Rattus norvegicus: one gene and its partner. Each later gene encodes a partner of the first gene's protein in a complex. Links are inferred from orthologs where the notes say so. Each region holds a gene or a part of one and is shown on either strand. Other genes may lie near its edges.

Region 1 (4,866 bases):
CTTTGGTCTGTCTTCTCTGTAAGTTGTGACAGTGCTGTGGGAAAGCTGAAACTGAGACTTTCTCTCAGTTGCGCTAAAACTATAAATAAAATTCATTTTTCTATACACATTGTTCTCTTCTCTCAATGTAAGTGAACGCAGAACCCAGAGGCAGGCCTCACGGCCCAGGGGCTCCAGTCACAAGATCACTATGGAAGCTCTCCACATGCTATTTCCCTTCCTACAAAATTAGGGGGAAAACAAGAGGAGGAAGGAGGAGGAGAAAAAGAAGGGTGACAGGGAGCTGGGAAGAAGGCATGAACCGTGAATGCTAGCTTCAAACACCCACTCCTGCATATGAAACAAATGAGCCCTCAGGGTGGCCCTGTGAGCTTGTAATTCAAGGGGTTAGGTGGCAAGGGCGGCGCTTGGAGTGGAGACAACAGGAGAGCACTGTACTTGTTGGCCACCAAACAACTCCAGGTTCAGAGAGAATAAGGCGGTTCAGGTTCTGAAGAATAAGGCGGAGTAATAGAACAAGACACCATTGCCCTCACTGAGTCTCCTCCACACACGAGCACGGCTGGGCATACTCACCCCACACATGTGTATACCACATACACATGAACACTCACCCCACACATGTGTATACCACATACACAGGAACACTCATCCCCACACATGTGTATACCACATACACACGAACACTCACCCCCACACATGTGTATACCACATACACACGAACACTCACCCCACACATGTGTATACCACATACACAGGAACACTCACCCCTACACATGTGTATACCACATACACACGAACACTCACCCCCACACATGTGTATACCACATACACAGGAACACTCACCCCTACACATGTGTATACCACATACACAGGAACACTCACCCCCACACATGTGTATACCACATACACAGGAACACTCACCCCCACACATGTGTATACCACATACACAGGAACACTCACCCCACACATGTGTATACCACATACACAGGAACACTCATCTCCACACATGTGTATACCACATACACAGGAACACTCACCCCACACATGTGTATACCACATACACACGAACACTCACCCCACACATGTGTATACCACATACACACGAACACTCACCCCCACACATGTGTATACCACATACACAGGAACACTCACCCCTACAGATGTGTATACCACATACACAGGGACACTCACCCCTACACATGTGTATACCACATACACACGAACACTCACCCCACACATGTGTATACCACATACACAGGAACACTCATCCCCACACATGTGTATACCACATACACAGGAACACTCACCCCCACACATGTGTATACCACATACACAGGAACACTCACCCCTACAGATGTGTATACCACATACACAGGGACACTCACCCCTACACATGTGTATACCACATACACACGAACACTCACCCCCACACATGTGTATACCACATACACAGGAACACTCACCCCCACACATGTGTATACCACATACACAGGAACACTCACCCCACACATGTGTATACCACATACACAGGGACACTCACCCCACACATGTGTATACCACATACACAGGGACACTCACCCCACACATGTGTATACCACATACACAGGAACACTCACCCCACACATGTGTATACCACATACACAGGAACACTCACCCCACACATGTGTATACCACATACACAGGAACACTCATCCCCACACATGTGTATACCACATACACACGAATACAATTAAAGGGAGGCTTACACTGTAGCTTCACATCCAGCCTCCAATCCCACAACCAGGCCACGCCCCATCTCCTCCATGGGATTAAGGATCTGAGCAGGGAGTTGTCACCAGGGCAGACCAAAAGGATCTCGCAAAAACTGAAAAGAAGGGCCAAGATAGATCACAGGGGAATCTATCTTCTGGCTCCACCCTCTCTCCAGCCTTCTCATAGTTGGGGCTGATGGGAAACCTGATGTGGTGATACCAGCTTTTGAAACCTTCTGGGGATTTCTTGGGTGCAGGGTGGACAAAAGGGAGTACCGGGAGCAGAGTTCTGGCTACTGCTGTTTCTGGCCTCGGGTCACAGAGGCAGTTGAAGTGAAAGCGAAAGAGAAACCAGTAAGAACAGAGAACACAGGTACTAAGTGAGGCTGCTCAAAGAACCCCCTCTTCAGCCAGAGATCTCTAGCAGGGGAACTGTGGAGAAGGCAGCCAGCGAGGAATCGCCCGAGAGCAGCCTCCATGGGCTGGGAGCCCAGCTGGTGTCTGCTGCTCTGTTTGGCTGTCTCTGGGGCGGCAGGGACTGGTGAGTAAGGAGACCTGGCTGGGGCCTGGGGGAGGGGAGAGGAAGCTCTGAGCTAAAGAAGCCCCAGGAAGTCACCTACTCAGAACGGCAAGTTTGCCTACTAAGCCTCGCAAATGAGTGTGGCACTCGAAATGTGAGGAACCAATTTGGAGAGGGGTATGACAGAGAACTCACAGAAAAGAGGCTTCCTTTGTGGAAAGGCAGGGTGCTACCATTCTGGGAGAGAGCTCACTGCCTTGAGTTGAACCCTTAGAAGAGGAAGGGGCTCCCCAGGCTAAGAAATCACTTGGGAGGTAACTCCTGGTGGGCGTGGCCATGGCGGAAAGCAGAGGCCTCTGGGAAGGTTGGGTAGTGAGAAAATGGTTGTCAGTGTTCCTAGGAACAATAAGTGCTCCAGTTTCTCTCTCCCCTTTTTTAAACCTGAGAATTTCTTTCAAGAAATTTCCTTGCATTCCCACAGTTGAAGTCCAGGAATATAAAATCATAAATCTCTCTGGCTTTGAGCAGGACAGATCTAGAACTTGAAACAACTCAGAGTCGCAGTCTGAGTAGCAGGTGCCTCTCCAGAAGCTCGGTTTGTAGATGATAATGACACCAAGACGGCGGGACCCAGAAGGCAACCTTACCTGATGATCAGCCTGCGTTTGGTAAAGGGGTAGGAAGCAAGTGTGGAAGAGGGTGCTTGTTTCACTTTCCCTGTAGACCCCCCGACAGAAGAAAGACGGTGGCAGGCCGTGGACATCGTCTTAGACTGCTTCTTGGTGACAGAAGACAAGCATCGCGGGGCTTTTGGCAGCAGTGAGGACAGGGAGAAGGCCCTGCTTGTACTGAAGCAGGTGCCGGTGCTGGATGATGGTTCCCTGGAGGGCTTCACAGATTTCCAAGGGAGCGCAGAGGCCAGACAAGATTCACCGATTATCTTTGAGGCGTCCGGTAAAAGCCCCTCATCCTAGGCTTCCTCCATAGGGACAACCCAGCTCCCAGTCCTATCTACCCACACCTGCCTCCCCACTGCCTGGCGTTGTGTATCCAACATCACCTCCATGCGCTGTCTTTCTCCGCAGTGGACTTGGTACAGATTCCCCAGGCAGAGGCTTTGCTCCACGCTGACTGCAGCGGGAAGGCGGTGACCTGTGAGATCGCCCAGTATTTCCTCCAGGCCAGACAAGAGGCCACTTTTGAGAAAGCAGATTGGTTCATCAGCAACATGCAGGTTTCTAGAGGGGGGCCCAGTGTCTCCATAGTGATGAAGACTCTAAGAGATGATGAAGCTGGAGCTGTCCGGCACCCTTCGCTGAACATACCCCTGAGCCCCCAGGGCACAGTGAAGACTAAAGGTGAGAAAACGAAATGCACTGGCACAAGGAAGAGTTCTTAGGAAGATTTTTTTTATTAGTGTGTGTGTGTGTGTGTGTGTGTGTGTGTGTGTGTGTGTGTGTGTGCGCGTGCGGAGGTAGAGATCGGAGGACAATTTGTAGGATCTGCCATGTGGGTTCCAAGGATTGAAGTAGTTCACGAGGCTGGGCAGCAAGCACCTTTACCCACTGTGCCATTTCAGTAGCTCCAAGAGTTGTCTTTTGGTTTGGTTTTTTGTTTGTTTTTTGATTTTGCTTTGTTTTGTGTTGAGAGACAGGATAGAAGGAAGAAAAACAAATATCACGTAGGTCCTCCTGAGGTCCCCTAATAGACCTTCATCTTTTCTAAAATATCCCGAGTCAGGAAGAGGGCATGCTGAGATCCTTACTGGAGCAAGGGTCAAAACTTAACAACCATCAAAATGGAGATGACTTTTATCTCACTGTGCTGTCGTGGGGAAGGACACATGAGGACACTGTGTCTACTACGCACGTTGTCACTGCACTCTTATTTAGCCAAACCCTGTCTCCTCCCAGGGAAAGGGAGGCGGTTTCAGCAGAGCACAGGGAGACAGGTGTGCTCAGTACCGCTTGCTATGAGTCCCAGTCCTCATCCCTCTCCCACTTAGTGCCTCCTGCCAGGTTCAAGAGAGAGAACACGATGACAGGCATCTGGAGAGTCCAGTTCGATATTTTACCTCTGAAAAGGAGAAACAGGTCCACAGAAGATGAAGATGGGGGTGCTCCTCTCCTATCCCTGCAAACCCCTAAAACATTAGCCTTTAGTATTATTTTGTCCCATACTGAGGATTGAACCTAGAGCCTTGTGCTAAACACGTGCTCTACCGCTGAACTACAGCTACAACTCCTTTTTTATTGTGAAGTTTTATTGTGAGGCAGGGGTCTCATCCATGTGCTTAGGCAGGCCTGGAACTTGTGGTCCTGTCATGCCTCCTTGGTAACTGATGGTACAGGCATACACTACCACACCCACCAGCTCTGAGGCCCTTTCTAAATGTGCCTTGCCATTTGTGTCAGAAAAGATTTCCAGGGTCTCTGTCCTAGGCCATAGATGGCTTAGTGCTGCTCCCTTTTTGAGTTTATTCAAATCTACAAATAAAACACATGCATCCACACAGCCTTGACTTATTCCTGACCTAGTTTAACAATGGTCACAGTTCCTCTCTGCCTCCACTAAAATAGATATTCTCCCCTG
Region 2 (5,041 bases), on another chromosome or scaffold:
TAGTTAAGAGAAAAATCTGGGCTATATAGATGGCTCAGTGGTTAAGAGCACCGACTGCTCTTCCAGAGGTCCTGAGTTCAAATCCCAGCAACCACATGGTGGCTCACAACCATCTGTAATAGGATCTGATACCCTCTTCTGGTGTGTCTGAGGACAGCTACAGTGTGCTCACATACATAAAATAAATAATATCTTTTTAAAAAAAATCTATCAAAACTAGATACATTCAATATCAATTTTGAAGAAGAGGGCCTTAGGGGAGTGAAGCATTGTCTTGGAGAAATTTCTCTGGCATGAACCTGGGTAGGAGCACCTTGGAAACAGACTGAAATCTAATTGCCCATATTTTCTCATGCCAGCTATTTGAACTTAAGGTTCTCTCTCCCTCTTCCTCCCCATCTCCCTTCCCCTCCCCCTTCCCTGCTTTCTCCTGCCTCTCCCTCCCCCCTCCTCTTTGGGTTTTTTTGTTTGTTTGTTTGTTTTGTTTTGTTTTGTTTTGTTTTGTTTTGTTTGAGACAAGGTTTCGCTGTGCAGCTCTGGATGTCCTGGAACTCACTCTGTACACCAGGCTGGCATCAAACTCAGATATTCACCTGCCTCTGGCTCCCAAGTGCTGGGATTAAAGGCATGCACCACCACTACCCAGGTCAAGGTCATTTCTAAGCAGATAGCCTACAAGGATATCTTCTAACACTAACACAACTGATTATGGAATCAGTCCTTGTCTCTGAAGCATCATTCATGAAGTAGATTGATGTAGTGGGCTAACTCCTCTATTAAATTATGAATGCCATCAAGAGACTAACTTTGATTATATCAAGATGAAACACACGAACTATATATAGCTTTGCAAGGGAAATCTCATGCCTGGTGTCCCATATTGATCACCGAGACACATATCACCACCTCATTTTCACACCAGCTGAAATGAAGAGCAAGGAGAAGGACGGTAAAAGCACAAAGCACCAATTTTTACATCAGTTCTGCAACTACACAGTTTTACATTTGAATTCATTGTCATTGTCCAAGTGTGTTATACTTCATAATCAGGTGACTTCAATGTCTTAGGGACATTACTTTGAAACATCATGTTTTTAGGAAGCGATCAAGTGTCTGTTGGAAACGAGGTCACAAAAATGGAGTCGTCTCTTCCCACCTGTAAAAAGAGCAGCTAGGGGAAGATTTGAGGAACTGAGAAAACCGTGAAGAGGAGCTATGGGAACTCAAAGGAAGGAGCAGACGCAATCACCTGTGAGCCACGCTGCTGCTGCTGCTGCTGTGAGGAACCTGCTGGATGTAATGTGAGAATTATCTTAACATTTCCTGGAGCTACCTCTCAAACGCTCTGGCTTCTCTTCCCTGTGTCCCCCATCCATCCATGGTGTAAAAGTATCTGTTTATGGGTAACACTGGGCACAAATATCATGTAGACCTTAAGTTATTTTCTGTAAATCTGAAATCCCTTCCCTGCCATTGCCCTCAAAGTTCATTTAGTGAGAACCATGGGAGGAAACAGCCTTTACCAGAGAGGTCCCATGGAGAGACCATAAGGAAGCAACAATAATAAACCATGCTCACCCCTAAGATTAGAGGGAAACGGACAGCAAATAAGAATTACTGAAGCCCAGCGGAAGCTAAAACTATAAAGAAAAGGGATTTTCAGAGAAAAGGGAAAACAACCCACATTGCAGAGAACTACAGAGAGCTACTGCCAGAGACTCCTTGAAAGAAGGAGGGGGCAAGAAAAGCAAACTTCAGTCTCTCCTTTCTCCATGTTCTTGTCTCTTCTCCCAGCATTTCCTACCAAGTGAACCAGGACAGAAGCTAGGACTGGGTGATGCGGTCTGTAGCTATCCGCCTCCGGAACACAAAGCAACACAGCAGGAACACGTCTGAGGGGTCAGAGGAAAACAACCAGCAAAGAGCAGCACCCCACTCTATAACAGCCCACAAATTATCTACATACAGGGTACTCAGAAGTCCAGTGGTAGGTATCACAGAAACAACTGGACTAAAGGCAGAAATGTTGCACTTTTGATCACTATGCCAGAAGGTTCTGCAATCTCCTTAAGCCAAAGAAACATCTAACCTCATCTTTGTTTGTTGGTTTCTTTGTTTCTTTTTCTTTTCTTTTTTTCTTTTTTGAAGCAGGCTCTCATGCCACTCAAACTGGCCTCAAACTCACCATCCCCTCCCCCCTTTAGAGTAGCTAGGATTGTAAGTTTGCATCACCATATCCATATCCAGTTGTTATATTCCTCCAGTCAGCTGGCACGTAGCAAGCTATCAATCAATACTTGTAGGATTAACACACAGACGATTTGAAAGAGTTCCTTCCTGGCATGAGCATTAGTCAGCAGCTTGGGCGGCCTGGTCTAAGTTCTGTAATTCTTCTGTGAACCTAGAGACCCACTAACGTTTAGAAGCACTAACGGCTTGCCAGCAGTTGCTTAGAGAAGTAGCGAAGTCTGGTACTTTGTGTCACACCGACTCTCCTGTGTTTGTGGCAACACAGGGCTCCGGATTCCCTAGAGACACAAGCTCCCTAAACTACAATGAACTTGGAGGATTTTTAAAAAATGTTTGTTTATTTTAATTATTATTTATTTTTACGTACTTTGGTGTTTTGACTGCATGTGTGTCTATGTTAGGATGCAGGATCCCCTGGAATTGGAGTTGCAGACAGTTGCGAACTGCCATGTGGGTGACCTCTGGAAGAACAGCCAGAGCTCTTAACCGCTGAGCCATCTCTCCAGTCCCAGAACTTTTGTTTTTAATCAATGAATATTTCCTACACCTAGAAAACAAGCTCGGAGGCGTGGCTTTATCTTTCTTGCGTCTTTTGTTACAGGTAGTCCTTGTCCTGAGGAGGGAAAAATATCTATGGACCTGAAGAATGGACAGACTGCACTGTTCAACTCCCCTGAAACTCACTACAGTCCCTAGTATAAGGCTCATTGTTAGAAAAGAGGAGAAACAGAAGGAAAAGTAAGGGTATAGCAGAAGAGTGGGGAGACAGCTCTCAGGGGGAAGTCTTTCTGGACAGGCTAGCATCCATGCACACACGTCTGGGCAGCAGGCCAACTGGTACATCACCCTTCAAATCTTGGGTCCAAAGGACCTGTGGATTTGCCCCTGGCTTTTTCATAGCTTGCACCACAAGTTTAGGAAGCGAACCCCTCGATGCACTTGGAAGCAAAGAGTACATGGGATACTTACGGGTATGGCTTTGCTTCGCCAAAAATACTGTGAGGAACGGTAGCAGGAACATCATCAACCCCCACTGAAGTCCTTTTCTTCCCATTTTTTTTTTTTAAACTTCAGATAGTGACAGGCCCCTGATGAATCTTTTGTGAGAACCTGTACTCACTCTACCGGTTTACTAGAAAATTTGGTAACTGAGCAATGAGGGCGGGGCGGGGACGCATTCTCCAATAAGAACTGGGAAAAATATCTTGTGTCACTAGTTGCTAGGGAGAATAGAGACCTACAAAATGAAAGCAATAAACTTTAACTCCTTGTTGGTTTCAGGCACGGCTTGCTTCTTTCCACCCAGTTCCCAACTGTTGCTCAATTACTTGAAAGGTATAGGGAAGCAAAGATTAATAACACAGATAATTTATTGCCTTTGGTTCTTTCTTGGAGTTTAGATTTTTAACTAAGGGACAAAGAAAATCGCACCGAGTTCCAAGATTTGGAACTCCCCGCTCAGTATGATTTTCCCATCCATCCGTCTCGGATAGCACGTACCATTTAGATTGTCCTGTAATATTTTACTTATGTCTGTCTTCCCTGTACTTTTGTTTACCTAGAACAATAGGTCCCAAACATCCCCACTGAATAGGGAGAAGAAAAGTCCTGTGGGAGATGCTGAAGGGTTACCACTCATCTTTCAAGGAAAGCAATCTCCAAGAGCAAGCTATGGTCACATTGTTGTTAGAAGCACATGACGAGTTAGGAAACAGCAGCTAAGGCTGTTCAGGGAGCTAGGGAACAGGTTTAAACAGGAAAGAGGAAGTACAGCCGAATAGAGAGAAGAATGAAGACAAGGCAGGGAGGCAGGCAAGCATCCTTTGGCTGGGGTTCAGGGACCGAGGTTTGATCCCAGCTCTTTGACACGGGGCAGAATCTCTACCATGGTCGGGCATCTTCCACTTGAAAAGAAATCTACCATGTATTTATTCCACAGGACTGTTGAAAGACTCGGTGAGGTTGTTTATGCACAAAGAGGGGCTAGGAGAATCAAACATCCTGTTTTTCTTCAGTGGTGAGGGGAGTGATGGCCCACTCGGAAGCTCAGAGCCTGTAACTACAGCACACTTTCTATGACAGAAGAGACTTTGCAGGTTCTGTTGGTTTAAAGACGGAGAGATGGAGAGATGATCCTGGACCATCTGCCAGAACCAATATAACCACGAGGGTCCCCATTACAGGAAGGCAGAGGGTCAGAATCTGAGAAGGAACTGTGAGAGCAGATGCATTGCTGAAATGGGGGTGAGCCAAGGAGTGTGGGTGGCTCCCGACCCTGGAATGAGAAGGTTACAGGCCCTACCCCAGAACCTCTAGAAAGAATGCATGTATCAAAACTTGTTTGGTTTTTGTTGTTGTTGTTGTTGTTTTGTTGTTGATGTTTTGTTTTGTTGTTGGTGGTTTTTGTTTTGTTTTGCTTTGTTTTTCCCACATAAGGCCTGTCTTCAGAACTTCCGCCTCCTAAATTATTGGAGAGGAAATGTATATTGCTTGCAGCCACCTAATTTTTATGAGAATGGACAACTTTTAGGCATGTCTTCCTTTCCCCACAAAGACTCAAAGAAGTTACCTGATGACCACTCCTCAGAGGCTTGTATCTGTTTCCCTTTCCTTCCTCTTTTGCTTTATTCCCTTGGTTATTCATCTAGCAAATACAGGCACCCGTGTGCCCCTCCCAGACACCCCTGTTACTGCTCAATGATGCTTGCCTTCCACACCAATTTATTTTCCCTTTGGTTTTTTTTTCTGTTAATAGCTTGTCCCCCCAAATGCATACTGTACTGTTGTTAAA

Evidence for each region.
Region 2: the proteins of Tapbpl (region 1) and Mr1 are in contact, whole or in part, in an NMR structure (PDB 7RNO), measured with the Homo sapiens proteins. The link is inferred for Rattus norvegicus from reciprocal best matches to the Homo sapiens genes TAPBPL and MR1. Residues at the interface, in NP_060479.3 of Homo sapiens: His47, Arg48, Gly49, Ala50, Ala52, Ser53, Ser54, Leu129, Met131, Thr132, Glu133, Thr135, Arg228, Gln230, Lys232, Gly233, Arg234, Gly235, Thr280, Ile282, Gln293, Ile295, Gln297, Arg307, Leu308, Ser309, Ile320, Cys321, Asp322, Leu355; in NP_001372090.1 of Homo sapiens: Arg101, Arg104, His105, Asn107, Thr129, Gly130, Phe131, Leu132, Gln133, Ile143, Phe144, Asn145, Asp147, Thr148, Leu152, Ala153, Val154, His159, Thr160, Lys162, Gln163, Ala164, Ala167, Asn168, Gln169, His170, Thr213, Phe214, Pro215, Asp248.

What each region holds. Positions count from the first base shown.
Region 1 is NC_086022.1:159,712,171-159,717,036, reverse strand, and holds the start of Tapbpl (tapasin-related protein precursor), read left to right. Parts: upstream 1-1,899; 5' UTR 1,900-2,231; coding exon 2,232-2,295; intron 2,296-2,997; coding exon 2,998-3,228; intron 3,229-3,359; coding exon 3,360-3,632; intron 3,633-4,866. UniProt on the Homo sapiens protein: Component of the antigen processing and presentation pathway, which binds to MHC class I coupled with beta2-microglobulin/B2M. Association between TAPBPR and MHC class I occurs in the absence of a functional peptide-loading complex (PLC).
Region 2 is NC_086031.1:69,864,893-69,869,933, forward strand, and holds the start of Mr1 (major histocompatibility complex class I-related gene protein precursor), read right to left. Parts: upstream 3,275-5,041; coding exon 3,220-3,274; intron 1-3,219. UniProt on the Homo sapiens protein: Antigen-presenting molecule specialized in displaying microbial pyrimidine-based metabolites to alpha-beta T cell receptors (TCR) on innate-type mucosal-associated invariant T (MAIT) cells.